Rhinolophus ferrumequinum: one gene and its partners. The protein of the gene in region 3 purifies or fractionates together with the protein of the main gene of each other region. This does not show direct contact. Links are inferred from orthologs where the notes say so. Each region holds a gene or a part of one and is shown on either strand. Other genes may lie near its edges.

The links.
Region 1: the proteins of FASLG (region 3) and SNX33 purify together in Homo sapiens (co-immunoprecipitation; 3 studies listed by BioGRID and IntAct, counting the BioPlex papers as one, with this or other methods). This does not show direct contact. The link is inferred for Rhinolophus ferrumequinum from reciprocal best matches to the Homo sapiens genes FASLG and SNX33.
Region 2: the proteins of FASLG (region 3) and SNX9 purify together in Homo sapiens (co-immunoprecipitation; 3 studies listed by BioGRID and IntAct, with this or other methods). This does not show direct contact. The link is inferred for Rhinolophus ferrumequinum from reciprocal best matches to the Homo sapiens genes FASLG and SNX9.

The regions. Positions count from the first base shown.
Region 1 is NC_046289.1:99,974,726-99,985,641, reverse strand, and holds the start of SNX33 (sorting nexin-33), read right to left. Parts: upstream 4,093-10,916; 5' UTR 3,156-4,092; coding exon 1,706-3,155; intron 1-1,705. UniProt on the Homo sapiens protein: Plays a role in the reorganization of the cytoskeleton, endocytosis and cellular vesicle trafficking via its interactions with membranes, WASL, DNM1 and DNM2. Acts both during interphase and at the end of mitotic cell divisions.
Region 2 is NC_046286.1:99,674,400-99,684,529, reverse strand, and holds the start of SNX9 (sorting nexin-9), read right to left. Parts: upstream 4,235-10,130; 5' UTR 3,384-4,234; coding exon 3,372-3,383; intron 1-3,371. UniProt on the Homo sapiens protein: Involved in endocytosis and intracellular vesicle trafficking, both during interphase and at the end of mitosis. Required for efficient progress through mitosis and cytokinesis. Required for normal formation of the cleavage furrow at the end of mitosis.
Region 3 is NC_046305.1:8,086,718-8,097,777, forward strand, and holds the start of FASLG (tumor necrosis factor ligand superfamily member 6), read left to right. Parts: upstream 1-6,555; 5' UTR 6,556-7,929; coding exon 7,930-8,268; intron 8,269-8,838; coding exon 8,839-8,884; intron 8,885-11,060. UniProt on the Homo sapiens protein: Cytokine that binds to TNFRSF6/FAS, a receptor that transduces the apoptotic signal into cells. Involved in cytotoxic T-cell-mediated apoptosis, natural killer cell-mediated apoptosis and in T-cell development.

The DNA of each region.
Region 1 (10,916 bases), on a different chromosome or scaffold from region 3:
CCCACCCCCAGCTCTGCCCTGGTGAGGGTCCCCAGCCAACCCAGCGGGCAGCTGTTAATCACAGTGCCCCAGCTTCCCCCTCCCGCTGCTCACGCTGCTCACAGAGGAACACGCCATCCAAAGCCATCCAAGGAGCTGGTCGAACCAGCTTTCCCAGGCCCTATGCAGTGGGCGTGGCTCCACTTCTGCACCAGGGGGACACCTGCCCCAGAGCTCAGAGCTACATCTGCCGCATCCCTCTGTCCTCAACCAGACCCTCCCTGTAAGTCTCCCTCCCCCACCCTGCAGGCCTAAGAGCTCACTGGGTCCACTTTCCTTGTTTTATAGATCAGGAAACTAAGGTCCAGAGAGGAGAAGGCACTTTCCAGGGACACACAGCAAATTGGGAGCAGAGCCAAGACTAAAACTCAGGCCTTGTGTCTCCTGAAGCTGAAAGAAAAGGGAAGAAGAGGAATGTGGAGCTAAGAGAAAAGGGCAGAGAAGAGGAGGAGAAAGAGAAAGTGACGGGAGAAAGGAGGCTGGGAGCTACACAAGGCAGTCACTGGTTCTAGACTTCAACCCGGTGAAGGAGGGCAGGGCTGGTTTACTCCAGACTTTCCTGGGTACAAGTAGGGGGTAGTGTTTGCTGACCCCCAGGCTCAGTCCAGAGGCCTGACTCCTGGCCCCACCCAGAGGAAAACTCCCCACCAAGCCAGGGCTGACCTCAGGGCCTAGGGGCCAAGGAGCCAGCCCCACGCCCTGCAGACGTTCTTCCTGAGTTACCAAGCAGCCCCAGGGAGCACCACACCTCTCTCCTGACATCTGCCCTGCCTGTAGTCTCCAGGTCTCCATTCAGCCACCTGCCAGGTCATGTCAGCCAGGTTTGGGAAGAGGGAGTGGGACGGGCCATGTGCCCCAGGCCCCTGGTTCCTCCCCCCGCCCAGTCTGGTGCCCAGTCCGGTGCCCCTCGGTGACTGGCGATGAGTCACTTCCCCGGCAGTTCCTTGACAGCCCCACAGCAATAGCCCATCCTGTCCCTCCCCCACAGAGGGGCTGAGAACTGAAAACATAGCCGGGCTTGGGCGGTGGCCAACACAGACGTGTCCTGAGGGAGCCACAGGAGGAAGGAATAGTCTCAGCTGACCCACGGACTCCCTGTGCAACCACCCTTCTGTGAATACCAGCGTCTCCATCTGCAGAATGGGGACAGCGACCCTCCCCCACAGATCAGGAACTCACAGAGGATACGCAGTGGTGAGAACAGGCTGTGCAGGGAGGTGAGCTGGTGAGGCCGTGGGAAGGGGAGAGAGGCCACACTGTGCCCCATTTATCTGGGTCTGTACCCCTGCCCCCGTGAGCTGTGGGCTCCTCAAGCGCAAGGCCTGGGCCCTGGTTATCTCCATAGACCAGAACCCAGCCTGATACCTTGGAGGGCTCAATGTATAATGGGTAAGTGAGAAAACGAGACAGAAACAGAAAAATGAAGGAAGGGAGGAAGAGACGACAAGAAGGTAAACACCAGCTCCATGAGGCTGGAGACCAGACCTATTCACAGTATCCCCGCACCTAGAATAGCAGCGGCCACATAGTAGGTGCTCAACACACTTGCTGAATGAGTAAGAGACAGAAAGACTAGATGAGCTGTCCCATTCTGTGTGGGCCACGCATGTCCCCGTGTCAGCAGAGCGCCGACTCCGCAGGGTGTCCAGCCTGCACTGGCCCTTACCTTTCTGCAGGTGGATAATGTCAGGGAAGTTGGACAGCAGGCCCTGGTACAGAGACAGCATGTCGAGCATCTGGAAGAGGTCGTTCTTGGGCTGCTCGGCAAACATCTCGCCGATGGCTTCATAGGTACGGCCCGTGTGAGAGATGGCACTGTTGAGGGCCTCAGAGCTGAAGGGGGGGTCCATCTGGAAGGCATGGCTGATGGCCTGGAAGGCATTGCCCAGCTTCTGGAATTCCTTTCTGAAGCCTCCCACATGCTTGCGCACCAGCTCCGATGCTACAGTGCTGAGCTGCAGGACACTGTCGTCCATCTTCTTGCTGAAGGCCTTGAACGTGTCCACACGGTCCTCCACGTCCTGCAGGTCCTGATGCTCCGTGGGGATCTGGAAGGTGAGCAGGAAACTGGCACCCACCATCTCGTCCTTCTCTGCCCGGCGTTTGCCCATCTTCCACTGCTTGGCATCCAGACAGCTGAGGAAATGCTGGAAGCCCTCGTACTGGGACAGCACGGGGTGGCTGGTCATATGGTCCATCCAGAGGATGAGCCTCCGCTTCCGTTTCTCAATGAAGTCCTCCTCGAAGCGGCCTGTGGCCTGCTTCTCCGGCAGGTGAGGCACCGAGATGACAGTGAACTTGTGAAGCAGGCGGTTATAGAGCCAGTCAAAGTGCTTGTAGCGCCGGTAGACGGGGGAGCCGATGTGGGTGGGTGTGAGCTTGTAGGAGATGTAGCTCTTGATGCCCTTGAATTTGGTCTGTTTGGTGGGGTCCTCCACCGAGCAGGAAAATGGGTGGGGGCTGGCCTTCCACTGGGGGCCACGAGGGCCCATTTCGATGGAGTATGTCTCAGCGATCTTGGCCAGCATGGGCACATCACCCAGGATGAAGGCCTCCACGCCCGAGCGCACGAAGCAGGAGAAGCGGTTGAGGTTGCGCCCCACCACACTGCCCCGCTTGGCAGATGCCAGGCTGTCCTGCCGCTCCAGCGCTGGCTTGGGCCGGAAGGCCATGTGCTGGCTGGGGTAGGCCCCAGGGTAGGAGAGGTGGAGCGGCGGGTGCCCATTGGTGCCCAGCTCCCCCGCGCGCGGCCCCTCCACCGCTGTGCACCCGTCGTCCCAGTCGTCCCAGTCGTCGTCATCGTCCTCCTCGAAGCTGCCCTGCTTGGAGAAGAAGCCACTGCCCCCACCACTCCCAGGAGCGTTAGCCACATCGGCTCTGTCATACAAGCTCACCTGGGCGCCAGGAGAGCCTGTGGGGCTGTAGCTGGCGCCAGAGCGGACGACCTCCACGTAAGAGGCAGGGAAGAGGCCCGTCTCACCGCGGCTGTTCTGGCCTTGCAGCCAGCCGTCCAGCGAGGTCTCGCTGAAGATGACCAGGTCCTCGTCCTGCTGGATGCTGATTTCCTCCTTGTTCTCACTGCGGAAGTCATAGAGGGCTCGGCCTTTTAGTGCCATGGCTGGGCCAGTGGTAGAGAAAGACGAGGAGAGGATCCTGCCCAGAACTGGGGACAATTGCTAGGGTATCCAAGAATGCACTGGTAAACCAAGGCCTGCCCAGCAGCTCCGTCTCTCTGCCCTAAGGCAGATCTCAGCACCCAGAGATGCTGTCCAGCCTCCCCCTCTTCAAAGCTGTGTCCATGGCCCAGAAATTGCCCTATCAGGTATCCGGGCACCAGCCTGATGGCAGGAGGGGCTCATGTCCATAGTCTTCCTCCCTTCCCTTGGCAGCCCCTGAGGGGTGGGGGTCTCTCCCTCCTCCCACTCCCAGAAGAAAACTCAAGTGACTTGGAGAAATCAGCTCTGAGAGGGCAAGAATTCCTCTTTCCACTGGAACAACGTTCTAAAACAAAAGAGAATCACTCGCTAACTACAGTTCCAGAACCCCAGCGGCTCTGGCTCCCAGCTCCTTCTGGCTCCTCAGTCCTTGGGAGACTCTCACATTCCTCCACAGTTCTGCTCCTTCCTCCTTCCTCCTGGGCCACTGGGTTTTCAAAAATCCAGAAAATCCAAGAGGGGCAAGGAGAAAAGCAGCAGCCTCCTGAATCGAGTCCAAGGGTGGATGTGTCCGGCTTCCCAACGAGCCAGGCCGGGAAAACAAGCAGTGAGGCTTACACAACAGGCCGCCAACTCTCCGACCCGGCGGCCCAGCGGGCCCCCAGCAAGCTCCGGCGCCCGCTCCCCACCCAAGTGGCGAGCCCCCACCCCAGGGAACGAGGGGCACAACGAGGCGCTCCGGCGACTTCTGGCCACCAACTGAGTGGCCTCTTTTGTTTGCCTAATTCCTCAGCGGTTTCTGAGCCTGAGGCTAACCCTGGTGAGTCCCAGGACCCCGTCCAAAGGTAAGCCCCGCCGGAGCCTCCCAGGCCGGCGTACAGACCCCCGCCCTCGCCTGCACGCACACACTCCACAGGAGTTTGCAGAGTGAGCTCCGGCGCGCAGATGGCGCCCGCCTGGCTGTCCTCAGCTCTGGCCCGCGGGTCCCGCGGTGGGCGGAGGGCTGCCCTCCCAGCCCGCCTTCTCTGCACTCGCAGCCCCTCCGCGCCGGCAGCAAGAAGCCAGCTCCAAAACAAAAAAAAAAAAAAAAAAGGCGATTCCGGGAGGTGGCGTCCCAGGGAAGGAGGGAACAGCCGCTGGGGGAGGTGCGGGGTGGAGAGAGGGAGGGAGGGAGGGAGGGAAAGTAGGCAAACTCCAAGGCTCTTCCGCGAGCAGCCCGGCTGGCTGGGCAGGGACACCGGCTCCGCCTCCCCGGCCTCGGGCACCAGAGCCGCCCCGCCTGCCCCTTGCTTCTTTCCTTCTGGCAGAGGCCCTCAGATCAGGATGTGAGAGGGAGGAGAAGACCTGGGAAAGAGGGGGCCACGAGCCTCCAGGGCCAGTCCGCCCTCGCTGGGAGGCACCTCTCGTTCCGAGGGTCTTGAGCGTTGCGTTTCCTTCCCACCCCCCACCCGGCAACCGCCGCTGCCTCGCCTCCTGGGCTCTGGGCACCCTCCTTTTTCATGACGCCAGGGGAGGAAAACTCCGAAAGTTTGCAAAGTGCACGAGTGCAAGGAGGGCGCCAGAGCCGGGACCGGGGGAGGGAATTGAGGAAGGCTGCTTGGAGAGCCACAGACTACCCCTCCCCGCGCACCCTCACAGCTCCGGCCAGACTGGGCTGTGGCGCAGCCCCGGGGTCGCTCTCTGGAGAGGGTCCCCAGAGCCAGCAGTGCCCTCACGGAAGAAGCCTGAGTGGCCTGGGATACTGGCCGCTGCGGATCCTAGTGCTTTGCCCAGACAGCCAGGAGCACCCCTGCCTTGGGAAACTTCCTTCATGAGGAAAACCAAGACCGTACATCTGTGGCAACAGGGAACAAGCCCAGGCACCACCCGAACGGGTTCTACGTTGCTTTGTGCAGCGGCGGAGGAGACTGAATGTTGTCTTTGCCACCAGCAGTGAGGAGAAAGGGATGGTCGGTAGGAAAGGGATAGTCGGTAGGCTTCCGGGAAGAGGTAAGGGGGATTTGACCCTTGGTCAGACTATCCGAAACGCTTTGGGCACTGCCAGGCACAGTGCAGGGCACTGGGGATTACAGCACAAGGCAATCTGGGTTCCTGCCCTGGAGGGTTCTTGTCCTTAATTCATCCATTCTGTCTCTGTCTCATTCATGCAATCATGCACTCAAGGAAACATTAACTGAGTAGCTATTCTATACCAGGCCTCTGGGATACAAAAATGAATAAGACGTTATCCTTACCTTCCAGAAGCTCAGATATGTTGAGACAAGTAGACAGATGCCCCCTGCCCAGTGTGACTAGTGCTGTGAAATGTGCTTGGGAGGGCCCCGATCCCAGCCTAGGTGGAGCAAGGATCAAGGAAGGCTTCTTGGAGGAGGTGGTGTCTAAGGTGAGCCAAGGCCTCGGCCCCTACTCCCCTTCCTGGCTCAGCCCTGGAGCCTTGCTTCCCCTTTAGCTCCGATTTACTTCCCCTTCATTCTCACTCTTCCCACTTGTTGTAGTTTAGCTGACACAAGGCAGTGCTGCTGAATGTGGACACCTGGGCTGTTTTGAACGGTGTGATTTGCAGGCCTCTGGCTCCAAAACCCAAATTCATTGATGCAGTGAGTAGATCCAATTCTCAGGACAGGGCTGGCATTTGACCCAAATAAAGTGTTTTTTACAAACTCCAGAAGCCCAGGTATTAGTTTACACAGAGAAATAGATCTATCAGGCAAACCTGAATTTTTGTGTCCCAGGTCAAGGCAGTTTGGGCTGCTCCTTGGGAAGCCCAGTTACCAGGTGAGCACAGTGAGCCTGGAACCCTCAGGATGGGAGAGGGGACGGTATGGCAATTCTCTCAGCCAAGAAACCTTGAGATCTTGTCCTCCTCTGCAGGGCAGTTTAGCCTGGTGACTCTGTGACCAGCCCGAATGCTTCCCCTTAGCTGCTTTGGGGTGCCTCTTTGTGATCTCTCTTCTGTTCACAGAACCTTTCTCTAAGCCAGTTTAACAATAGCAAGTATAATACTTCCTTAGTGCTGGACACTGTTGTAATTATTTTACCTTTATTAACTCAATACAATTGGAATTTCTGCTCATACAACTAGGGTCGTACCTAGCCTAGCCCCACCCACTTGGAAAGCCTTCAGCCAACACCATGATGGCCTTAGTTGTTTCCTAAGCACTTCGGTCACACATTTACAGAAGAGTCATTTGGATTTACCCTCATATCTGTTCTGGGTGGCTTTTTATAACTTAGGGGACACCCTTATTTCCAGGTTTTTGGGGAAAACTCACTCTTCAGCCTCACAGACATTTCCAGAACTTGTATCTTCCATTCCCACCCTTCCAGGGACCCTCTTCAAGCCTAGGGGTAACAGAGCTCCTGGTTACTAGTCTCAGGAAACCACTCACCTTTGTGGTTTCCCTACACTCTGCCCACTTGTTTGGGAAAAGTACCTTTATTAAATTCTCTTCACGTTACTGTAATTGGAGTTTTTCTCTTTCCTACTGGGACCCTGATTCCTGCACAGGAAACAGCATGACTCCAGGCATCCAACTTTCCTCCTTTAGGAAAGGAGTCAGCAAGGAAGAACCTTGGCCGGTGGTTTCCAGGCTGACCCTGCCAGTGGCAGCACGGCAGACACACTGGACTATTGCTATAGTAATGTAGACAAGAGATGATGAAGTCCTGAGACAAGGCCGGGCTAACGGGCTGGAGAGAAGTAAATCTGGGAGTTTATGGAAATAGAATAGACAGGAATGGCAACCAACAAGATGCGGGTATTGAGGGAAGAATTAACTCCTGTCTTTAAAAAATAGATTCTTGACTCCACTTCCCCCACTATCTATTGCCCCATTTCTTTGCTCACCTTTGCAGCAAAACTCAAAAACCATACCAGTTGCCTGCAATTCAACCCTTTTTCTTCTTAAACCTCTCTAGCCAGTCTTTCGACTTCATACTCCACTGAAACTAGTCAAGGTTTCAATGACCTAATGGTTACTCTCAGTCCTCTCACTCACCCTACCAGTAGCATTTGACCAAGCTGGTCACTCCTTTCCCTTGCATACTTACTTCACTTGCACTGGGGAGAACACAGTCTCCTGGTTTCCCTAGTACTTCACTGATTTGTCCTATTCTCTCCAGTAATTCTTAACAGAGTGACTACAGTATTGTGGGCCTCTTGTCTTTTCTACCAACATTCACTCCTTCAATGATCTCACCCAGACTCATGGCTTCAAACACCATCCCTCTGCCAGTCACACACAACCTTTTTATCTCCAGCCCAGCGCTTTCTCTAAAACTCCACACTCACATATCTTTCTCCCTGACTGCTCTCCGTGGTCTCTCCTAGACATCTATAACTCAACATGGCCAAGATCGAATTTCTGATCTTGTCCCCCACACCTGTTGTACTTGGCAGCCTTCCCCATCTCAGGTGATGAGCATCTCCAGTTGCTCAGGCCAAAACCTGGAGACATTTTTGACTCTCCTCATCATCCTGGGACTCCTCTGTCATCAGCATGTCACTGCTGCTGTCCCGGTCCCAGCCACCATCTTTCTCGCCTGGATCATTGCAATGGCTCCCTAATGATCTCCGTGCCCACCTCTGTCTCCTGATAGTCTGTTATCAGCACGGCATCAGGGTGATGATCCTTTTGAAACATAGTTTAGATGTCAATCCTGTGCTCAAAACCCTGCAGTGTTGTGGGGACAGAGCCGGGAGTGCAGTTTCCAGGCTCTCGGCCTCACGTGGAAAGGTGCTGGCTTGGGTAGTAGATGGCCATCAACTGTGATCAGATGGCCATCAGCTGTGGCTACGCTAGCAGAAAATGGGGGCTAGCAAGAAAATGGTGTCTGGCAAGCGTGGATTGCAGTTAGGACGGCGGGTTGCGGACAGTGTGGCTCCTGCTTCCTGTGTCTCCAACCCAGCCGCCAGCGAGAATATAGTGGTGTGACTCCCCTATCTGTGGCTCCAGGGGTGTTCCTTTTTGGCCTCACCATATCCTGTGTTCTTATGTGGGGAGCAGGACCAGAGACCCCGCCTGACACCCTGTGTGACACATGGTGCAGCGAGCTGGGTCTTCCGCACGACAAGTGTCTTCCTCTCACTCAGCATCAGAAGTCCTTACAAGAGGCAACAGGCTTCTGTCATCCGAGTCCCTTTCCCTCCCCACCTAGCCCACTCTGCTCCAGCCAAGATGGCTTTGGTACTCCTCTTCTGACATGCCAGGCACATGTCTCCTGTCTTAAAGCATTCACACTGTTTCCTCTTCCTGAAATGCTAGTCCCCTAGATACACACATGGCTAAACCCTTATAAAATATCACCTCAACAAGACCTACCCTGACAAGCCCTACTTAAAATTACAGCCCATCCTCACCCCAAGTCCTACATTGTGCTGAGTTTTGTTTCATACCACTTAACACCTGCTAACATATATAATTTCCTTATTTATCATGTTTGTCTGAGGAGAAGGAAGTTAACCAAGAGCCCTGCTGCAGACATGCTGAGCAGGAGCTGAGGATGGGAGGGAATGAGGCTAGGGGAATAGGAAGGGGGAGGGGGTAAAGTGCAAACTGGGAGAGGTATTTGTACCATGTGTAACTGGTTAAGGATTAATATCCAGAAATACACAAAGAACACCTTCAAATCAATGAGAGAAAAAAATAGCAATCTGTGTGAGTTTTTTACTGCAACTGTTAACAAATTACCACAAACTTAGTGACTTAAAACAACACAAAATTCTTATTTTATAGTACTGGAGATCAGAAATCCAAAGTGGGTCTCACTGGGCTTAAATCAAGCTGTCAGCAGGACTGTGTTCCTTTTGGAAGCTCTAGGGAAAAATCCATTTCCATGCTTTTTCTGGCCTCCGAGAAGCTGACCACATTCCTCTTTTCCTGGCCCCCTTTGAAGATGAAGTCTTCATCTTCAAAGACTTGGTACTCACATCACTCAGACTTCAGCTTCTATCATTGTATCTCCGTCTGGCTCTTCTGCTTCCCTCTTGTGATTACCTGGGACCCACCACATAATCCAGGATCATCTCACCATCCCAAGATCCTTGATTTAATCACATCTGCACACTCCTTTCTGTCATGTAAGGTAACGTGTATTAACAGGTGTTGGATGGACATCTTTGGAGGACCATTATTCTACTTACCACACAATCCAATAGAAAAATAGACAAAAGACATGGAGCGTTTCATAGAGGAGGAAATACATATGAAACTTTTATTCATTGGGGAAATGCAAATTAAAATCGTAATGAAATACTAAAACACTCCCCAAATTGGTAAAAAAAAATTTTCTTCTCCCCCCTCCAGTTTAAGCCATTGTTTCTCAGTTTAGATGGCTGCCAGCCACCCAGCCACAGCAGCACACAGCAGCCCACCAGAGCCCAGCTCCAGGGAGAGCTGTTGTTCGCAATCTTAGCTGCGACCTTGGCCTCAGGAGCATGGTGCTCCAACCACCTGAGCAACCCGGCTGGCCCTGGTAAAAAATTTTAAAACTATCAATTGAGAACAAGGAGCAAAGGAAACTCTCATGCACTGCCAAAGGAGTATATAAACTGGTACAACCCTTTTGTTAAACAATCTGGCAATATCTATCTACTAAGGTTGAACACGCACATATTTTACAACTTGGCAATTCTGCTCCAAGATGTATACTAGAAGCAATTGCAGATGTGCAACAGGAGCCCTAAACAAATGTTAATAACAGCACTGCTGAAAAAGTCCCTACCAAAAAAAATCCAACCAGAAAAAAAAAAAAATTGGATAGAGCCAAACAATGGAATATCATGCAGCAGTGAAAAAAAGCAACTACAGCTACGCATAATAAAATCCTTATGGTGTGATTTCTTCTAAGCAACATTCTTCAAATGTCAATGTATATACAAATTACCGGGTATCTTGTTAAATGCAGATTTTGATTCTGTAGGTCAGGAGTGGGACATGAAATTCTGCATTTCCAACGAACTCTCTGCTGGTCCACAGGATACACTTCAGGTAAGAAGGTTCTCAGCATATTTAAGGATGATGTATAATGATAAAACGATTTTTCTTTTTAAACAAAAAGTTAAAATAAACAAATGAAAGAGTCCTGGTGACATTTTCTTAAACTGGCTGTTGGGTTCATAAGTATTCGTTGTACTTTATAACTTACATGTTACATATATTATTTTCCACATATCAAGTATTACATTTAAAAAGACAATGAAAAGCATACAAAAATAATACAAAATGATCAGCAAAGAAGCTAGGTGGCGTCAAAGGCTTGGGCAAATGAAGAGGCTAGTCCTGCAGCGCCACACTCGTATATTATCTAGCTGAAACAGTTAACTTTGTTAACTCAGTACTCGCTAACCAGAAATCCACCCCGTCAAGATATCGTTTGAGTCCATACTAAAAGGTCTGGGCTTCTACCTACTATCCAAGTTTTTCAAATTTGTTGGGTTCTATGAATCAACTGGCATTCCTGTTAACAGTGCAGATTTCCGGGAGGCTCCCATGTAGATCACGATTCTGTGCGTGTAGGAAGCGGCCCGGGCCCACTTGGCAAAGAACCGCTCCGCCCGCCGAGTGAAGGACTTGGCGCATGCGAAAAGGAGGGGACTACCAGGTCAGCCCCCAGGTCGGCCGGCTCTGGGAATCCCCCAAGGTGGAAGGAACCCAACGGTCAGCACAGTAAACCCAAACAATCGCCTTCTTCCCTCTTCCCGGCAACTAGACTCTTTAAGCT
Region 2 (10,130 bases), on a different chromosome or scaffold from region 3:
ACAGCATTCCAGGAAAAAAAGGAACCGCATATGCAAAGTCAACTACAAAGTGTTAGGAGGGCAAAGTAAAACTATAATTTTCAGATGGTCAATATACAAATGGTGCAGTAGAAAACTCTGCAAAATTTTTATGCTTTCTAATCTATTCCTTCTTTATTAAGAAATTGGTTTACCTTCTTACTGTCATAGAATTTTTCTTTGAGACTACAAAAACTGTCCAGATATTCTACTTAAGAAACTTTAGAAAATATGACTATTATTCAAAATTGAATGGTTAGCATTTTCCACACGTTTTAAAAAAAACATCAAAACCAACTTTAATCCTAAGGCTCTTTAGAAAGACATTTCTAGTATTTTATTCTTTTTTTCAGATAAAGAGATTTTTGCTCAGGAGTGAGTACAAAGTATGCTTTCCGAACTGTTCTTACTAAGTGTATCATAGAACAGTCCTGAGCAATTCACTCATTTCCTAGTAGTATTTCAACATTCCACATCTACTTAATTATAACACAAATGTATAACTTTAGACACTGGATCTGGAAAGAGATGTTGTGTTTTATTAAAGACACCAGGGACTCCTAAAATCTTCTTATAATGATTATTCCTAAAACTATGTAATCACAAAAGGACCCAAATTAGTTACCAAAGGTTAACTTTGACATGGCTATCACATCTGAATTATATAGTAGCTATGACTCGATTAACTTCCATTAATGATTTTCTTTATGTCCCTTTTCATATGTTATGGGTCAAAAAAAAAATTTTCCCAAGATTTAATAAATAAAACTTTACTCTAAATTCACCATATGACTGTGTCAAAATACAACCTGTTGAGGCTTCTAACAGAAGTCAAGACATTACACATTCACATTAGCCTTTCCCTGTATTTGTTCACAATTTAGCGACATGCACTCAAAACTGAATTCAACTTTCTCCTGGGTTAGGGATTAGGATCAAAGAACAGATAATCCCTTTAAAATATGCAGTTACTGATTAACTTTTCTTGGCAGTGAAGAATTGAGTTTTCTTCTAAAAGGTGAGTATACCAGAGGAGTTTTTTAAAAATCACTATAGTTCAAAGATAACTGTATCTTCAAGAAAACATGTAAGAAAAATACATAAGAAAATCATACCTAAAACAACAGAAGCCAAACTCTGGCTTCAAAGGAAAATTCAAAGGGAAACCTGACACTACCTAAAATGTCCAGATATTGCATTTATTTGTCATCACTTAATGCTCCTAGCAAGAGCCTGTGTACCAAATGAGTCTTAAAATTTTATTAAAAAGTTAGATGTTATTAGTTATTAAAAGTACATGCTCCCCAACTACCCAATTAAAGAAAGGGAAGGGAAAAACCCAAACCACTAGATGTTGGAGGGGAAACAGCAAGTACAACTTTCTCTGGGAACAAATAAAATGAGACTTTGGTTTGATACAGAATCACCATGAAGTAGGAAAACCAGAACTCTGAGGATGGGTCCTCTTTTAATAAATGCTCTTTTCCTCGTCCTTTCTTAAAAAAAATGGAAGTAGTTTGCCACCATGTAAACAAGGAAATGAGTCCCATGTGGAATAGTGATTAGAAAGGTGAAAGAAACTAAGAGCCAGAGTTACCGGAATTTGCCTTCAGAGTGGTGGGGATAATCAAGTCGGAAGTGCTGACACATGCTTTAAGGCTTGTGTCTAGTGAGGACATGTGCAATTCAAGTTTAGTACAATAACTGTCCTTTTCGATTTTATGGAAAAACTAAGTTCAGGTGTAACTATCAAATTTTTCATCATGTATACCCACACTAGTTGCTAAGCCTGGACCCACCTAAAAGACAGTACCAGTAACGTGCATTAGATCAGAGTGTGAAATACCACAGCCCTGACCACCACTAAACAGATAACTACCACAAACAGCTTTTAAGGTTGCAAGGTGAGTGTAAAATAAGGCCGTGTAACTGGTAATTTCTGGAATGTGTGGCAACAAACCTCAAAATCAAATTTCCTTAAGACATCCGTGCGTTTTGTTGAGTTTTGAGTTTTGTTTTTAAAAGGATCAACGAAACATTATATACGTTAAAAAGGTAGCAAATTCTATCACATCTTATAAAACCAAGGAAGGGTATAGCTAATAATCTATTAACTAGTAGGTAATTATTTCAGTAACTGCAGGCAACAGGTTCCCTGGAGAAGAGTGGCCTTTAAAAAAAAAAAAAAAACTAAACACTGCACCTACATAAATTTAGAGCAAAAAATTTAACAGACTGAAATGGTATCAGACAATCTTATCTTTTAAAGGGATTTCACATTTCTTACTACTTTCCTGTCTCTCTACCAAAAACAAAAACCCAAGAACAAAAACGTTAGGCTTTCAACAAACCAAAAAAAGCTTACAGATTTCAAACATAAATATGGAAGAGGGTGCTGATCTTTACAAAAGTGACAGAACAAAAAACTATTTGCAAAAGTCAATGCATTCCTCAAAACACATGACTACCTCCTGGAATCTTCATTCAATGGTCCTGGCTTTCCTAGTTTACATTAAGAATTAAGGAAAACACCCCAGGAAAGGGAGCGGGGAAGGGTGACGCCAGCAGACGCAAGCAGCGAAGGGTGACCTCTAATTCTACGAAAAATACTCTAAAATAAGCAAAGCACCACTCCTGGCCAATTACCAAGCGCGAGTCAAACTTCCACCACGTAAGTCGGGCCTGGGCCTTTTTCAAGCAAACGCGTTATTGAAAGCCCAGTCATTTCCCTCTTTGTATTTTATTCACGCTGGAAATAACATTCAAACTGAAAAGCTAACAAAACAAAAGAAAAAAAAAAACAAGAAAGGAAGTGGAAGCGCGGGGCGTTCAATTTGCGTTTTCCCTCCCCCGGAGCTCTCGCTCGCCGGCCTGAATTTAAAACGCCGAGTCCTCTCCCGCCGGGGTCGAGTCCCCCAAAACCGGCCGGCGTGCCGGGAGTCCACCAGGAGGCGGAGGGAGGGGACGCTCCTCTCCGCCGCGGCCGGATGTGCGGGGCACTGGCGACTGGACACCACTCGGAACCTTACCAGCGTCTCCCGGTGGCCGGCACGGCTCCTCCGAGCGAGCCGAGGGCTGCGGGAACTTCACCTCCACGCGGCCGGCCGCAGCCCACGTTCAGGGGCAAACTTTGCAGGAGGCCCCGCTCGCGTCCGGGGTCCCGCCCCACGACCCTCTAGCGCCTGCAGCCGGGCCCCCGAACGCCCTCGCCCCGCGTGACCCGAGCCCTGGGGGGCTGCGAGCCGGCCCCTCAGCTTCGCCCGCGTCCCTGCCGCCCGCGTCCCCGGCCCGGACCCTCCTGGCCCCGCCGCGGAGCCGAGGGGCCGCCAGGGCCTGCGCTGCGCGCCCCTCACCTTAGTGGCCATGGCGGGCGGATCTCCGGCCCGGGACGGCCGGCTCCTCTCCCGCGCCGCGCTGTCGGCCCGAGGCGGGCAGGCGAAGGTGAGGGCGGCTACGACTGGGCCACGGCGCGGCGGCGGCGGCGACAGCTCCGCCTCGGCCCCGAGTCTGGGCGCTGGGTGACTCCAGCCGCCGCCCGCTCCGCCAGTTCCTGAAACTCCCCGACTGCGCGGCCCCCGCCCCTGCCGGCGAGCCTCCCATTTACCGCGGCGTGCGCGGCGCGGCCGGCGGAAGCGCGCCCGGTGCCCTCGGCCAGCCAGGCCTCCTCGCCCACTTTCCGCCCCCGCCCGGAGCCTCCGCCCCGGGCCCGCCGCCGCCGGGCGCCCTTTGTTCCACCGCTCAGGGACGCGGCCCGAGTCGCTGCCGGAGTCGGGGTCGGTGCCCGGGTCCCAGCCCCCGGCCGCGCCCCGCCTGGCTGCCCGCGGAAATGTTGGGGGGAGTGAGGACGCCTCGGGGGGGAGCGCCCTCCCCGGGAGCCGAGTCCCGACTGGCTCCTCACGACCGCGCCGCACGCAGCGGCTCAAGTTCGGCTGCGTGAGGCACGAGGCTACGGTGACAAGTCTACGTCCCCCTGGCCGGGCACGGGTGACCAACGGGGATCTTGGTCCTGAGTCGGGAGTGCTGTTGGGCCGACTGTGCTCTGGGCTGAGTAAAACGAGTGCTACATAAACAGCCGGGACCGAGCGGAGCAATGGCTCCCTGGTCCGACCGGCCCTTCCAGGAGGTTCTGCCTCAAGCCTGGGGTTACCACAGGCTGGGATCCCGCCTGGAGCTTCTGGGCCGCGACGCTTGGAGAGTTCATTCTGAGATGTCACATTAACCTTCTGCACGCTTGATCAATTTAAAAATGACGCAGGGCCCTAGAGGTTTGGGGAAGATACAACGTATTTTCTGAAAGTGGAAATGAGAGGTCTAAAATTTTCCATATTTTTTTGTCAACATGTTTTTCTTCAGAGTTGGACACACGGGTTTTATTCATACATGAATGACTTAAATTGAGCAGTAAGATTATCACTGGAGTACCAAAAATATGACTGGAAGATATATCTTAATTGGTATGTCAGTGTAGTACAGTTTGTTTTTTATTATCAGGGATATATATGTTAAAAGAGGCAGCTATCAAATCAAGTCTAGATTTGATTATTAGCCTAGAAAAGCAGTATTTAGAACTAATGCCAAATTTTGTGTTCTGTCGAAAATACTCTTTGACCTCCAGAGATTTGAAGAGTTATTATACATTCAGCAATGGAGTTGAAAATGGATATGGTGTTACAGAATTTTCTGTAAATTTTTTGTTTGCTGAGTTCATGGCTAAAGCTATAGTCATAAATTATAATACTCATAAATAGTCAAAGTAAAAGGAAAGCGAGAGATTACCATTCATTGACAGTTTAATTACTATATACTGTTTCCCAGAAAATAAGACCTAGCTGGACCATCAGCTCTAATACATCTTTTGCAGCAAAAATTAGTATAGGACCCGGTCTTTATAATATAATCAATATAATATAATACCAGGTCTTATATTAATTTTTGCTCCAAAAGATGCATTAGAGCTGATGGTCCAGCTAGGTCTTATTTTCGGGGAAACATGGTACTAGACTTTCACATGCTTTAATCTTATTTAATCCTTATAAGGAAACTTTGAGAAAGTCATTGTTGTCCACTGTTTACAGACATGAAGAAATCAAGTCTCCCTGAAATAACTTGGCTGATTTGGTAATACTTTTCAAAATTGAAAATTCCCATAACCTTGGGCCTAGCAGGTCTATTTCTAGGAATGTATCGTGCTGTCAGATTTGCGCAAGTGAGTCATGATGTTAGTTAAGTAAAGCATTGTTCTAACCCAAAACAGAAAGCAACCTATATGTTTGTTAATAGGACTGTTTCAATACAGCATACCAGGCAAATGAAATTCTGGGAAGCCCATAAGAAAAGGATAATATTTAAAAAGGCACAAATAAAGATAAACATAGCATAGCACAATCCACTTGTGTAAAAAAATATGAAAATACTTTGTATATACCTAGAAAATGCCTGAAGATTCATTAGATGCCATCGTCAGAATTTTTGAAAATGTGTTTATTACTTTATTTTAAAAATGTTTGTTTTAATAAACAACTAAATAAATATCTGGACTAAGAACACATACTAACTTGTATGTGGAAAAGCCAGGATTTGAACTTGGGTAATAGCATAAGTAATGAATTTTCCATATTCTTTCACATTTGAAAGCTGCCTTCAGCTCCCTGCAGCAGTTCAACAATGCATGTTTTGTAAGGGAGCTACAAACTCGGGGTTGATCCTGTGACCTGTGCTTTTTGGCATGCTCAATTGACACCCGCCTGGATGGGGTGCTGGTGGGCCAGTTGTGCTCTCCTCTGGGCTGAGTAAAATGAGTGCTGAATAAACATCCGGGACCAAGCAGAGCAATGGCTCCCTGGACCTTCCAAGAGGTTCTGCCTCAAGCCTGCGGTTACCACCAATCAACCTGGACACCTGATACCAAGAAAGGAAAAAGACCAGAGTCCAAGCTTTTCCGATTTGAACAATTTCTGTAGTCTTGGTTTCATCCTTAGAAGTAACCATGGAAGACATCAAATTCATGATGACTAAGCAAAATCAATAAAAACATTAAATGAAAGTGAAATCACTACCTGTATTATTGAGATAGTAAAAACACCATGACATTGTTTCCTAGTCCGGTAGTGCATCACTAATGTAATCTCAGGGAGTCTGAGCTCCAGCTCCATCTAATACCACCCTCCCGGGGCCATACTGGCCTCTCGCTTCCTCCCCCCCCCCCCCCCAGCATCATACTCTGTTCCATGGAGAGGTTCCTGGGCATGTGACCTGCGCAGGGTCCAGTGCTTAGAGGGACCCCACTCTTGCTTTAATGCTTCTCTCTCACAAACTTTAAATTCTGAATAGTCTTGAACAAGAGACCTCACGTTTTCATTTCATTTCACAGCAAATTACATTGCTTGTGTTGTTTCTTTGTCTGAATTACCCCTATCCCCCCACCATCTGTTCACTTCCCCCCACCACCCCACACACCAGCTGACCTCCCACTCATCCTTCGGAGCTCTCCTGGAGCGTCACAGCAGTTAGTATTCCTCAGGGAAATCTTCCCTGCCCCCAGTTTCAGTCAAGTTCTGTTGATTGAAGGTCTCACCGTACTTGGTTTCCTTGCCTTTGGAAATTTGTTTGTAATTCATTATTGAGTGACCAGTTGCCTGACTCCCCCCATCAGACAGTAAGTTAAGGAGCAGAGGCTTTGTGCCCATGTCTCCAACCTGCCCTAGCACCACTGAAGGGGACCAAAGTTTTGCCACCCCCAAAGTGTGCCTCTTGGGATACTGATTTTAAGTTGGTTATTAAGAAATGAAGACCCCGAGAGAACCTTTGACCCACGCCCTTTCCTGCCTAAGAGATTCAGATGGAAAGGCCTTCTCCTGGAAGGGAATCAACATATTGTGGCACATAGAAAGGCTCTAAGCTGGGGCCTGTTAACTAGACGCCCCACCTCATGTCCCATTGTTTCAGAGTTGGCTAGCAGGGATTTGCCTGTCACCTGTGTTCCCCTCTTACTCAGCTACCTGTAAATTGCTTATTGCCTTTGAAATCCCAGACCCGTTCCCCTCTCTTTGTCCCTAACGGCATATAAACCTCAACTGCCCAATGCTCGCTGGTCCGACTGGACCTTACAGGGTAGGTAAATGACTTACCTATTGGTGTGCATTAGGCCAGAGCAGAGACAAGAGCCCACTTCTCTTATCACGGGTCTCCAAAACATGTCATTTTTGAACTAAAAATATTTCAGGTGAGAGGTTCGAAGGCAGTTTTGTGAAGGTCAAGACAGTCACTGTACCAGTGACATGATCCGTCTCTCTGGCCCAATCTTATTCCGGCGTGCGTTGTTCCTGTGGCCTTCAGGCTAACAGCTCCTGCTAGAGAGATGCTAATCATTAGAAGAATTCTACGTGGGACTTGAGTTTTTAAAAGAACAGTCCCTTGCTGGAAGGCGCCGCTCCCAAGCAGGTGGGGGAAATGTGTACAAAAATAATGATAATTTATCAAAGGCTTGCAGGAGCCTCAAGAGCAGACTCAGGTCAGCTGGGGTGAACAGACTAAGAACAAACAAAGAGATTTAGAGATTTCCGGGTCTTCCTCAGACCCTGCTGGTACCCAGATGTCTGTGGTCGTCAATCACCTCTTGCCCCTCCCATCTTCCCTTCCCTTGACTTAAAAGAAGCCTGAACTCTGTACTTTCTTAAGATTGATTTGAGGATTAGAACCCCCCATTTTTTCAAGTGGCACCTTCTCAAACAATAAACCTTTCCTTACTCCCAACTCTTATGTTTGGAGTTTTGGCTTTCGGAAGCGTAGGGCACATGGACTCTTAGACCGGTAACAAGATAAACCAGTCAAGGACTCCTGTCTTGAACTGTGCTAGGAGCCACCCACCCACACTAGAAGAACAGAAGAAGCATGATATCCTTTCATCTTATTCCAAGAAGTCCAGCCGCCAAGTGGAACAGTGGCTTCTCCCAAACTAGAAAGTTGACGTCACTCAGGATAATCACGAAAAGCCCTGGGCCAAGTTGGGAAGAACGTGGTTTCATCTTCTGATTCCATTTGATCACCTGTTCAAACCTCTTTCTTTCCTCCCATCCACTTCCTTCCTTTGACAGGCTTTCTCAGAGGTGGTGCTTTCCGTGGGCCGTCCTCAGAACCCAGAGGTTGAAACTGGCACACGTCAAGTTCAGCTATTTGCTCTACAGCCTGAATTTCCATTACTCCCATTGGTGAGAACACAATTGATTAGCTAAGGAATTTGATTTGCATTTGCAGACTGCGTTTGGCTAGATGGCACTTTTAAAAGAAAAAAAGCTGTAGCCAGAGCCACAAAGAGTTGTTCAGTTTAGGCTTTGAGCTCTTTTTATCATGCCAGGGGGAGGGAGTGACAAGCATTCCTAGGAGCCTGTGCTAATGGCACAGCTGGTGGCCATAAGAATGGCTATTAACTCTTGCCCTGGGTTTGTTCAGTAACAGTTAGGTGTTATGACTATACACTTATAAAGTTAAAGCACCTTTATTTTAACTGCAGAAATTAATAACTTCATCACTGTAACTCTGAAACTCTCTAGCCCCAAACACATCTTTTCACATTGAAATGATAGTTTTTAAAAGTTGTCTTTTAAAAACTTAACTTTCTTAGATATAGCTCTAATGGTTCCACAAAACACAAATACAGTCCTCATCCCAATTCCCTTCTCTCTTTTTCCATTCTTTCTTCCTTAGGAGCACAGACTTTCCTGTCGACAGAGCTGGATTCTTGTCATGCAGGGTCTCTGGTACCATTCGCTGCATAAGAACGCAGGATATGGTGAGGCCAAAAAGGAACACCAGAGACCCCGCATGACAATTCTGTTACTTACAATCCATGTAACCTTAGGTACATTACTTCTTCATCCTCAGTTTCCTGAACTGCAAAATGGGAATAACAACAACAACAACAACAACAATAATATCTATCTCATGGGTTTGTTGTGTGGATTAAATTAGATGATGAGCTCAAAGGATTTAGCTTGACGCTTTCTACATAATAAGCTCTCAGTAAATATCAGTTATAATTCTTGTTTCTTTCTCTAGTCGAAATTAGATTGTCCTTATATTCCAATAGCTCAGATCCCAACTACTAAGTGCTAGGTTAACTAATGTGAAACTAATGTGGGAATATGAAACTATGAAAAATAATGTGGAATGGGATGAAAACGTAATGGTTGCCCACCCTATATGGTGGAAGATGGGAAGAGTGGGGAATAGGACAGAACCCCAGCGTCAGACTGGGTTGGCACAAAGGTATATTTTTTTCTCTCATTTTATAAATTAATTGAGGTTAAAGTGAACCTCAGGGGTGGCCTTGGAAATAAACAGGAGAAAGTGGTGTGGCAGGTGCCTTTCCAATCACAAAAAATGTTAAGTCCTCACCTTGTACCAGGCACAGTTGCAGGTGTTGGAAATAAAAGTCCCTGCTCTGAGAATTTAGAATCTAGAGTGGGTGGGGGAAGAAGATAAACAATTACATATGTAACACGTCAGGTGCTTTTGTAAGTTCTCTGGTGGAAAATTAAAGCAGGCAAAGGTTTTAGAGAAATGGCAAAGGTTATTTTATAGGAAGCTGTCCCTTGGTGTTAAGCTGGCCAATGTATGTATAAAAGTGGATGACTTTTTAATTTGTTTTGGTTGATTGGCTTTAGTTTTGGTTCCATTTTGACCAAGTCACTTCTCTCTCGACACCGTCTGGGAGACACAATCTGTGTAGAATAATGAGAAATGGTGTCCAGAACTGGAGATTTAGCTGGAATGTAATTGCTAGGATCTGAGCAGGCAGGAAGAGGCTGGAGGTTGCTGAGTCTGCATAGATGGCAGGCGTGACACTGACAGGCAGGGTTAGGCTGCAGCAGGGATTGTGTGCTCTTGGTTCTGTACTGGCCTTACGCTCAGTTTGGGTGGTCCTGACTCCCAGAAGGAAGGCTGGGTTAGGATACTGAGAGCAGGGCAGTGATTGTAAGATGGGCTAACTAGCAAGCTCTCAGCCTTCATGATCACTGATGTTCCCTAAAACTTTACCCTAGGAAATTGCTTTGATTCTCTGACCTGTTGTGGGCAGACTCTGACATTAGTTCTCAGAAACATCTTTACAGACA
Region 3 (11,060 bases):
GGCTCAGGGCAGAGAGCTTCACTTGTGAAATAACAAACAAGCCCATGGCCCAGCGCACGTCACTCACTGGGCTGAGGCTCTCCTTTTCCTGATGTCGCAAAGTCCCTGAACGACATCCCAGAGCCGGACGAAGGCTGTGTGCCCAAAACGTGCTTCTTCTGAGACCCCGATGATGGAAGGCTCTCGAGGCATCCAGCTGCACGGCCCTGGCCAACATCTGCCAGACTCTCAAAGGAAACAGTGGGTGACAAAAACAACGACTTTGACATTTAAGCCAGTCTTGGGTGCATCTGAGTTTCCCACAAACCCACCGTGACACATGTTTTTGCAGTGAAGCATCTGAAACATGAGTAAGAGGCTCATGAAAGAGCCCACAAGACCCAGGCATTTCCAGTCTTAAAAGATGTTGTTTGGGGTGAGCCTCACACCCCATCCCACTTCCTCCCTGCCCTGCAGGCAGTGGACCCCCAGCCCTATGCACTTGGGGGCGCTGCTCCCGGGTACCGCGAAGCATGTTTGTTTCATCGTCGCTCTCACACTGTGCCCTTTTTGGCTTAGAACTTTGGCTCAAACACCAACAGGCTGTGGGACCTTAGACAAGTCACTTAACTTATTTGAGCATCAGTTTCCTCATCTATATTCAAAGAGCAGAGACTTACTGCGTGTCTCTAATACCAGGCACTCTTCTAGGTTTGGAATTCATGTTGGGCCATTTTCTCTTTGGGAAACTGAGACTGTCAGTCACTGATAAGACTCAGTAAGCAAGATGTGAGCTTCGTCACTGTTCCAGCTGCGCACATGCATTATTGTGCTTGCATAGGAGAGCTGAGAAGAAAAGACAGTCCATCTGCAGACCCACTGCGTGAACTTGACCAGGTCAGAGGCGGCCACCAGATACTAATTGCAACAGAACATGATGCACCTCATGAGAAAAACAGTGAGTGCGCTGAATGAAATTGAAACATGGAGCCAGGAGGACAGTGTCCCCCTGGCTTCTTGGGACGTGCCCTGGGTTGCCAGAAGGTCATCTGGAGACAGGACATCTGGAGGCAGGAAAGACCAAAGACCCTGGGACCCCACTGGGCTACAATGGGAATGGATGCCTGGGGGGGTAACCCTGGTGGTTCCTCCCAAAGGTCTTCTGACGTGTCTGGGTTTAAGAGCCAACAATCGATGAGAAATTGAGAAAGTGAATGAGTTGTAACCTGAGGGTGCTCTAAAACCACTATTTGGGGAGTCTGTTACAGTTTTTCCACATTTATGTATTGAGTGCATATTAGTCAGGCACTGTGCTAGGCAAGGGATACAATAGAGTGCAGGAGAGAGACACAAATATACATATATATTATTTATATATGTCATATGTTATATATAAATAATATATAAATACATATTACATGTCTGAAAAATATATGTAAATATGTCTCTAATATACCTAATATATATATTATATGTGTGTGTGTGTGTATATAAAACTGCCGTAAGTCCCAGAAGAGAAACAAGCCCAGAGTATTATGAGAGAGAATACTAACTTTGTTTATCTCATGTAAGTGGACAGATATTTGGTCTGTGACTGAAGGATGCTGGGAGCTGGTCATTCGTAAGTGGGGCAGAGATGGGGCAAAGAGCAGTCCAGGTAATGGCAGTGTCTCAGGCAAAGAGGTCAACAAGCACTGACCATGATGAACGGAAAGGCCCGTGTGGCCATGGTGTGGTGAGAGAGGAAGAGAGTAGAGTGAAATAAGTTGGAGCGTTAGGAAGAGCCCAGATAACACAAGGGCTTGGAAATCATGAGAAAGAGTTCAGATTTTATTCTCAAGGCAATGGGAAGCCACAAAAGTGTATTTTAAACAGCAGACCCACATGATCAAATTTAGTGGCAATTAAACGAGTGACAAGGCCCTTTTCAGAGAGAGGCAGAGAAAAATGCAATGTTGTCAAACTTCCACCGTAAAGTCAGCAGCAGGCCCGTGGTACCTGCAGTGTCATCAGGAGATGGGGCACATAGTGTCACTGAGTGAGGTTGCATTGATTCCCCCCAAGGAGTCCCGTTCCTGACCTGGGACCCTCCTGCCTTCATGAATTCGGTCAGCATGTATTTGTTGCGACTTTTACCCAGTGAACAAATAGGCACCGTGGACTGGTGGCAGTTATTGACTGGAAGTCGCAGTTCACATTTAGGTGCCTTCACACTATGCTCTCCCCTTTGTCGGTTCCTGTAACTTGTCTCTTCCTTTGCCTAGTGGTCACAAGAAGCTTGTTTCTTCTAGCTCTAGAGCATCATACTATGCCTTATGATTTCCCTACAACGTACCTATATGTTTGTAAACAGTCCCTTTTATTAAGCCTGTTTCAACCTGCCCTCATGTGAGTGTTCCATCTGTTTGCTGATGAAATCCTGATGCTAGAACAGGAAGCTTATTGACAGAAGTGATACGTCAAAAAAACGAAAACTTGAGGAAAACATCACACTTGTTGTGAAAAACTTTAGATGCTCATGATCACAGTTATTGTTTCATATAGTTCTCAAGGTTTGAGACAATACAAAAAGAAAAGAGAAAGAATGAGGTATAAGCATTGGAAGGGAGGATTAAATATTGTCATTTCCCCCCCCCATAATATATATGTACATTAAAAAAAAATCAGAAATCCACAGACACACTAATCAGAAGTAAAAAGAGACTTCCACAAGTTTGCAAGATTCAAGATTATTTATTACGAAATAAGGAGCATTTATTTAAACCAGTAACAGCCATCTGTATTAGTTATCTATTGCTGCCTAACAAATAACCCCCAAATGTAATGGCTTAAAATAACGTGTATTTATTATCTTACAAGGTTTGTGAGTCCAAGCTAGACTTAACTGGGTATTGTGAACTAAATGTTTGTGTCCCTCCAAAAATCATACTCAAAACTCTGCATCCCAATTCGATGGTATTAGGAGGTGGGGCTTTTGGAAAATATTTAGGATTAGATGAAGTTATGAAGGTGAAGTCCTCATGAATAGGGTTAGTGTCCTTTTAAGAGTCCCAAGAGAGCTTGCTGCCTCTCTCTCTTCCCCCAATGTGAGGCTACAATGAGAAGCCAGCCATCTGCAATCCAGAAGCCGCAGTCTTTTTATAACTTAGTCTCAGAAGTGCTGTCCCATCACTTCTGCTATATTCTGTCAGTTAGAAGTGGATCAATAGGTCCAGCCCAGACTTAAGGGGAGGGTATCCTAGAAGGGCACAAATATCAGGAGGTAGGAGAAACAAGGGGGTCATCTTAGAGGCTGCCTACCACAGAATAAAAACAAAATGCCACAGAAAATAAGACACCATGTATAATCACAACATTACAAAGCAATTAATCTAAGAAAGAATGTGTGAGACCATCCCGGAGAAAATTGTAAAGGTCATATAGAAGACATGAAAAACGGTGGATAGGGTGGAAACGTTGTAAAGATAACACTTTCCCCAAGTTAGTACAATTAAACAGTGCCGCAGGTCATTTTGGGAACATGGTAGTTTGTTTTTCCTAATACATTAATGGGAGGTTAAATATACTCAGGCAGCTAAGTCAATTTTGAAAAACAAGAGCAATAAGGGGGAATTTTGCCATAACTAGCTCTCAAGACAGTCTACAAGGCTGTAATTATGAAAACTGTGTGACCCTGGTCCTGGAATAGAGAAATCAATGAAACAGAAATAAGAGCCCAGAAAAAGACTCAACTATATGTAGAAGCTTGGTATGTGGTAAACATACCACTGTTATTCCCTGGGGGAGAAGATGGATGGTGTCGGGAAAACTGGCTCAGACATGGAGAAAAACAAACATGGATTTTTATTTTACATCACAAATAAAGGTGAACTCCAGATAGATTGAAGCCTAAATATGAAATTTATGACAGTGTGGCAGAAGGTATTTTCAATGTCGAAAAGTAGCCACAGATTAATAGCTAGAATATGAAGTGCAAGGAGATCCTGTGACTCAGTGCAGAAGAGATAAATCCAATTAAAAAATGGGTGTGATGTATGAACAGGAAATACAAAAGGGAAAACCTGACTGTCTGACGAGTATATGACAAGATGTTCAACCTCACAGGAAACCAAAAAAAAAAAAAAAAGGAAAATTAATAGGCAAGATACAGCTTTATAACCACAAAGCTTGGAAAAAATTAGAAAGGTGGATAATACCACCAAACAGAGAGGCAGACATGGGACAAGACAGTTATGCTGTTGGTGTTGGTGTCAGCAGACTCAGACACTCGGATGAGCCGCCTGGAAGTACTTTGTGAAATGTACAGGGTAGCGTCTGTGTTTGTGAATAAACAAGCTCCCGCTAGGAGCCTTTGCTCACCTCGGGAGACGATCAGCTGCTGTTTTCACCATGCACCACTCTATGCTACTGCCATGCAGGACCATTTCTGAAGGTAATTCCAATTCTAGAGGGACCATAATTAAACATCATTTGAACTTTCAGCTAATGAGGTAAGATGCTTAAAAGTTTTGAACACGTTTGTACAAGGCGAGTTCTCTGATTCGGTCCGACACTTAAATTTGCTCCCAAGTCTCACCCACAGCCATTAAATCTCTGTGACTGGCAATCTTACCCCTTCCCCTGAAAGAAATCTCCAGCTCGGAATCTCTCTCCCCTGTCCATTCTCAAGGACCCTGGTTCCAGAATCAGAGGGACAGGTGCAAAGTAGGCAGGTAGGGTGAGACTGAGAGAGGCCCTTCGGTCTGGGTTCCCCACGTGGAGGGCTGCCAGCCTGCCGGCTCTTTGATTCATTAACTCAAAGCCTCTCTTTCAGGCAAATATATATTCTTCTTCAGCAATCACAGAGCTGAGATCCACTTTGCACAGATTATTTCTGCTAATTAACAAGGTTCTGATAGTACCCCAAACGATGATGGGTGCCTGTTATTGTTTGCAGGGGTGTTTATGTTCCCATGATTTTGCCATCCTGTGATGTTTGGTGGCATTACCAAAGAGCGATGCCAATGTGGAAAGGCTGCTCCTTTGTCACTATTTCAGTTCAGAGTCGCCCTGAGATCGGCGGGCTTTGGGTGGTTCGGGCACTTACAAGGATTCTGATTTCTCGTATCACAGAATGAATCAAGAGAAGAATCAGGGCAGGGAGAGATGTGAAAACACAGCATAATTTTTACTGAAGAATGCTGGAAGTTTCTGTAGGAGAGTGAGATAAAAAGCAGGGGGTGGGGAGGGGGGTCTTAGCCTGAAACACAGGGGTCCGTCTGTCCATCAGTTCACTGGTAGAATCTGAGGACACTGGATGTCAGGCATTGACTTATACTTTTCTCTGCAACCTCTTTCCTCTTCTTTTATCCTTAATGGAGGAAGGTCACTTACATTATGTCAATAGTTGACGTGTATGTGGGGAGATTCACTGCACTGACAATAACGGCTTCTGTTCAGTGCTTACTTTGGTGCTAGTGACTGTCTCCAGTGTATCAAATGCTTTGACTCATTTAATCCTCACCGTGCACTCTGCAATGGGTACCATTGTGATCGTGCACATTTTTCTAGATTAGAAAACTGTGGCACAGAGGATGGAAAGTGACCTGTCCAGGTCACACAGTGAAGTTGGAAGAGCTGGGATTTGAACCCAGGCAGTTTACGTCCAGAACCACACACCCATAATCATCATGCCACACTCTCTTTCTGTCCTCCCTATCCAGAATGGTGGGATTTATTAGAATCTTTGCCATTTTGGGTAAAATCTTTATAGTTTAAAAAACATTGTTCTGCGTAATTTGTGATAGAGTTATTTCAGGATACTTTAAGGTTGGTTTTTAGTTTTGGTTTTTGGTGTGTTTTTTTTTTTTTTTTTTTTTTTTTGCTATTTTTCTTGTTGCATGTATGGTGGAATTTTTACAATTAAATTTCCAGGTTATTACATATTAACTTTAAACTTACCATTTTTCATAACTGTGAATAAAGCCATAAGTGAGTCCAAAAGCACATTAACTCTGCCCAACTCTAAAATACAGTGAGAACGTTGTACAGTCACTCTGGTCTCATGCATCTCACACTTGTGTGAGGGGAGAGTAGGATGTGGGCAGAGGGTCTGGAGAGGGGGCAGTGCCATTTGTTAGAGTACTAGTTGTCGGAGTCAGACTATAAGGAAGCCCGTCTTATGCTAAAGAAGAATCTGGATAACTCCTGTTGTCAAACCTTCCAACAGAAGGTTTCGGTAAGCAAGTGAGATAATTAGATTTTTTAAAAAAAACATCATTCTTGCAGCATTTTGCAGGGTGACTTGTGCTTGGGAAAAGCTGGTGGTAGAGAGACCAGTTAGGGTACCATTGCAATATTTCAGGTGAGAGATAATGAAAGTCTGACCTAGGCAATCGCAGCAGGAAAAATGGAAGCGGAGAAGGTGCGATGGGAGGAACATGTCTCAGATGAAATCCACAGTCCTGGGTGACTAGTTAAATGTTGGGGGAGAGAAGAGCGAGGAGTGGGAGTTGTCACCAGAAAGAGTGACCTCAGGTGAAACAGGTTGTACAGGGCGTGAGGGAGGGGTGGGGTGGGCAGAACATGGCAGGGAAACATGTTTGGTGTTGGTTTGGTACAGGTGAAGAGCCAGAATGCTAGTCACAGAGATGCCAAAGCATGATACAGAAGCTAATGAAATTGGAAAAGTATAGCCCTCCAATAAAATGGCAACATAGGGATTTATGGGAGGTTTATATGGAAGAATGATTATGACTGGAGCTGAGCTCTTGGAAGTTACTGGCATATCAGTGGTACCTGAGGCCGGAGGGAAAGGTGGGGTCAGTCCAGATAGAGTTGCCATCTTTAATAAAAGACAAAGAAATAGGACAATCAGTTACATTTAAACTTCAGATAAACAATGAATACTTTTTTTTAAGTATATTCCATGTAATATTTAGGCCATACTTATCCTAAAAATTATTTTTTGTTTATCTGAAATGAAAATTGAGCTGGGCCCCATGCATTTCCCCTGATAACCATAACAGTGGCTGCAAACAGAAATGCCTATGGGACCAGGAAGGCACCCATGGGAGGTGCTGTGTGGCGGGTGGAAGGTGGTACAGGTGGGGCAGCCTGGAGCACCGATGTCTCATCCTTGGGGGCAGCTGCTGCCCTGCTCCAGCTGATCAGGTTCGCAGACATGGCCTCAAGGGTGTCCAATATTCTAATGTTTCCAAACAGAAGAGAAGTATATATTTTTAATGTGAAATATCCCAATTTTAAAAGAAGACGACTAATGAAAAGCAAAAACATTGTGAGGCACAGAGCAGGTCTGTGGGTTCCCCAAGGCACAGGGGCCACTGCTTTGCAACCTCTGATCTAATCTTTGCAGAGTGGGTGGGGAAGGTGTTTAACCTGCAAGTTACAGTGCTTTGCAAAGTCAGGGTGCGGGGAAGGGATGGCAGCAGGCCGATGACTCCCTCCCTCATGCAAAAGGTAAAATGTGAAAACGACGCTTGTGGCCACAACTCCATGGTCTTGCCCCTCAGTGTCTGAACGCGTCCCATGGCCACGGTCGCCATAGCTGGGCAGTGGCCAAAACCACAGAGGGCTGCACCCCGTTCCACCTGCTCTCACAGGGCTGGAGAGACCAGCCTATCCCACCAGCCTTTCAGGTAGCAGGAGCAATCATTGGGGCTCTGAAGGCTTTCATCAGAAAATTGTGGGTGGCAACTTCCTGGGCTTTGTGCTGAGAGCTTCTTGAGGCTTCTCACCTTCAGATGCAAAGTGAGTGGGTGTCTCTCTCTGAGAAGCAGAAAGAAAAAACGAAAGAGAGGTGTTTCCCTGGGCTATGGAAACTCTATAAAGAAGGAGCTGGCTTCCCCTCCCTTGGTCAGTCAGAAGCAGAGGTCCCCTCCTTGATCCCTGGGACTCCCCGGGATCGAGAAGGAAAACCTTTGCCTGGGGCGTCCCGAGTCACTGGCTGCCATGCAGCAGCCCTTGAACTACCCGTACCCCCAAATCTACTGGGTGGACAGCAGTGCCAGCTCTCCCTGGGCCCCTCCAGGCTCAGTCCTCCCGTGTCCGTCCTCGGTGCCTGCAAGGCCTGGTCAAAGGAGGCCACCACCACTGCCGCCGCCACCACCACCGCCGCCATTGCCACCGCTGCCGCCACTGCCACTGCCACCTCTGAAGAAGCAAAGGGACCACAGCGCAGGCCTGTGTCTCCTTGTGATGTTTTTCATGGTGCTGGTGGCCCTGGTTGGATTGGGCTTGGGGATGTTTCAGCTCTTCCACCTACAGAAGGAGCTGGCTGAGCTCAGAGAGGTAAGCTGGCGTGTGGATTGCTGTGCCCTGGAGGCACGGGGGGGTCACACAGCTCTGTCACCGTGCAGGGGTCCACGGGGACCGCAGTCTTGCACAGGGCTTTCCAATCCTTGCTTCCTGTCTCAGAAATGGGTCGTTCTAGACATTTTATTCGACAGAGAATTGCAGGTGGTTCCCATGAGGAAAAGGAATATTTTCTGTTGGGGAAAGAAAGGATCAAGGCTGTAATAGGAATGGCAGGGACAGATCTTCTTGTGTCCTGTGACAAGTCAGCCTGCTGAGCCGCGTACTTGGTGATCCGAGAAAGAAAAAGAACTTTGAGTCTTGTGTAGAAGTGAATCTGTTCAAATGGCCCATCTTCATATTTTTGTTTCTTAATGCTTAAAAATATCGGAACTATTCCGAATCACAAAGCTGAGGCATGGGGAGGCACAGCGGCTCGGCCAAAGTCAGAGTCAGGAGAGCTTCTGCGGTAGTTAGAGTCCCTTTCCAGGGCTGGGTTTAGTTGATAATTCTGCCTCTCGCTTAAAGAACTTCATGTTGATTATGTGTCTTTTTCTTTTTTGCCAGTCCACCAGCCAAAGGCATATAGCATCATCTCTGGAGAAGCAAATAGGTGAGTCCTTTTATGCATGGCCATTGAGCTTCCAAAGATAGCCCTCCGTGCTGAACCATGTGGGTGGAAGGCCTTGAATTGCAGGCGGCTCCCATGAGGAAAAGCATCCATTCCCGGGCACATGCATGCTAACGGAGCAATCCTGGCGAATTCGGAATCTCTGGTCATTTGGGTTCCTTGAGCTGCCCTAACCTGTGAATGAATTTTACTGTGCAAAATCAGTGTATCTGGGTACTGCACACCATTCAAAATAATTCCCACTGGCCTTTGGGAAGAGATGCACACAAGTACATCCCTGGACCTTTGCCCCTGAGCAGCTGGCCCCAGGCTAGTCCCCTTCCTCCGGCCTCCTGGTTCCCATACACAGGGTGGTGGCTGTAAGTCCTCAGGAAAAGGGGCAGTGGAGGAAGAGAGCGATGTTTATAGGAAAGGTTTCCTCCTCTTTAAACTCTCAAAGATGTTACTCAAGAGCCAAGAGTTTTAAAACATATTTTATAGGATATGTTTAAAAGCTTTTTTTAAAATAAGTGCAAAATCAGTCATCCACGTAGGATGGTTCTTTTGCAGTCACTAGAAAGCTTGGGGAAAGACTCCAGCCATTATTCGAAGGGTATTCCAGCTTCATGCACAGAGGCAATCGTGAGCTACTTTTAGCAATAAAGGAAAATTCTTTGTATGAGACCTAGAACAGGGAGAGGATGGAAATGTTGAGCAATGGCCTCATGAAACTTCAGAACATAGTTTTGGAAACTGGAGAGATAGATTTAAGATTTTCACCAGCTCATCAAACTAAGACTTATCGACATTTAGATTTGGTAAGAGTTGGAAGGGAGCTTAGAGAGCATCTGGTCTAGTCATCTCATTTTTCAGAAGAGAAACAAAATACCAGACAGGTTAGGTGACTTGCCCAAGACCACTGGTGTGGAACTGGGGCCAGAAGGAACACAGGCTCCTGGTGCCTTGTCACCTCCAGGGCTCTCCTGTATATGGACTGATGCCTCATGAAATAAGGCAACTCCCATCTCGCTATGATGCTCATGGAGTGAGAAACAAAGAAGACAAGCGAGACGCCCTGCAAAGACAATAAGTAAATCTCACCCTTAGAAATGGACGAGAAAGCAGAAGGCAGCACTGGCCACCCAGTCTCTGAGGTTGTGCCCAGTGCAGGCGACCCATCTCTCTGTTGCCCTCGAATGTAAGCTCCTGTCGGAGCCCAACCTTAGGACGCTCTGGTCCCGGTTCTGGGTCTGAGTCCCTAAGTGTTAGAAAGTCCACACATACACAAGCAGAGTAGAAATATTTGGTAGAAAAAAATTAAGGCTCTGGAAGGTTTCTAAACTAAAACAGCTTTGAAAATCAATGGAATGTGGCTGGTGACACAGGTACCTAATTACTCATCTTTCACCCACATTCTGGAGTCATTTTAGTGATTAAAAGTCAAGTGAACAGATGAGTCAGGTCTACCAACTCCAAAAAACAATTGTCTTCTCCAGATCAACCAGAAATTGGTGAATTATCCCATGGAAATCAAATGAGCAACTTGACTAATAAGAGATGCAAATTAAAACAAGGAATACCCATTTTCATCCATCAAATTAGTAAAGGTTAAATACATAAAATGAAAAAGCCCAGACTGGCAAAAATATGAGAGAAAAGGTCCTGCTTAAACATTAAATTGACAGCCAGGGGTCATGTAAATTGCTGTACCTTTTCTGAAGAGCAGTTTGGAAAAAATGTATCAAAAGATTAAAACTGTTAATTTACTTTTGTAATCTCATCAGTACGAATTTATGTTAAGAAAATAATCAAAGATGTGCCTGAAAATTTATATGGAAGGGTGTTCATCACCTCCTTATCAGCCTATTTATAATAAACAGTTCAGAAGAAACATAAATGTCTCTTAATAGGAGGTTAGTTAAATGCACTGTATTGTATTGAGATGAGAGCCTCATGTGTAGCAACTGAAAACCATGAATCAGGACACTTAATGCCATGGAGACTGTGCATCGTATAGTATTAGATAAGCAAAAACAGGTTATAAAGCAGTATGTTTAGTTTAATATTGACTATACCCACATATATGCATATTTTTATATTCTTAGTAAAGAACTAGGAGGATTTGTACCTCGACACACGAATAGTGATTTTTCTCGGCGAGGCACTATTACAGATTATT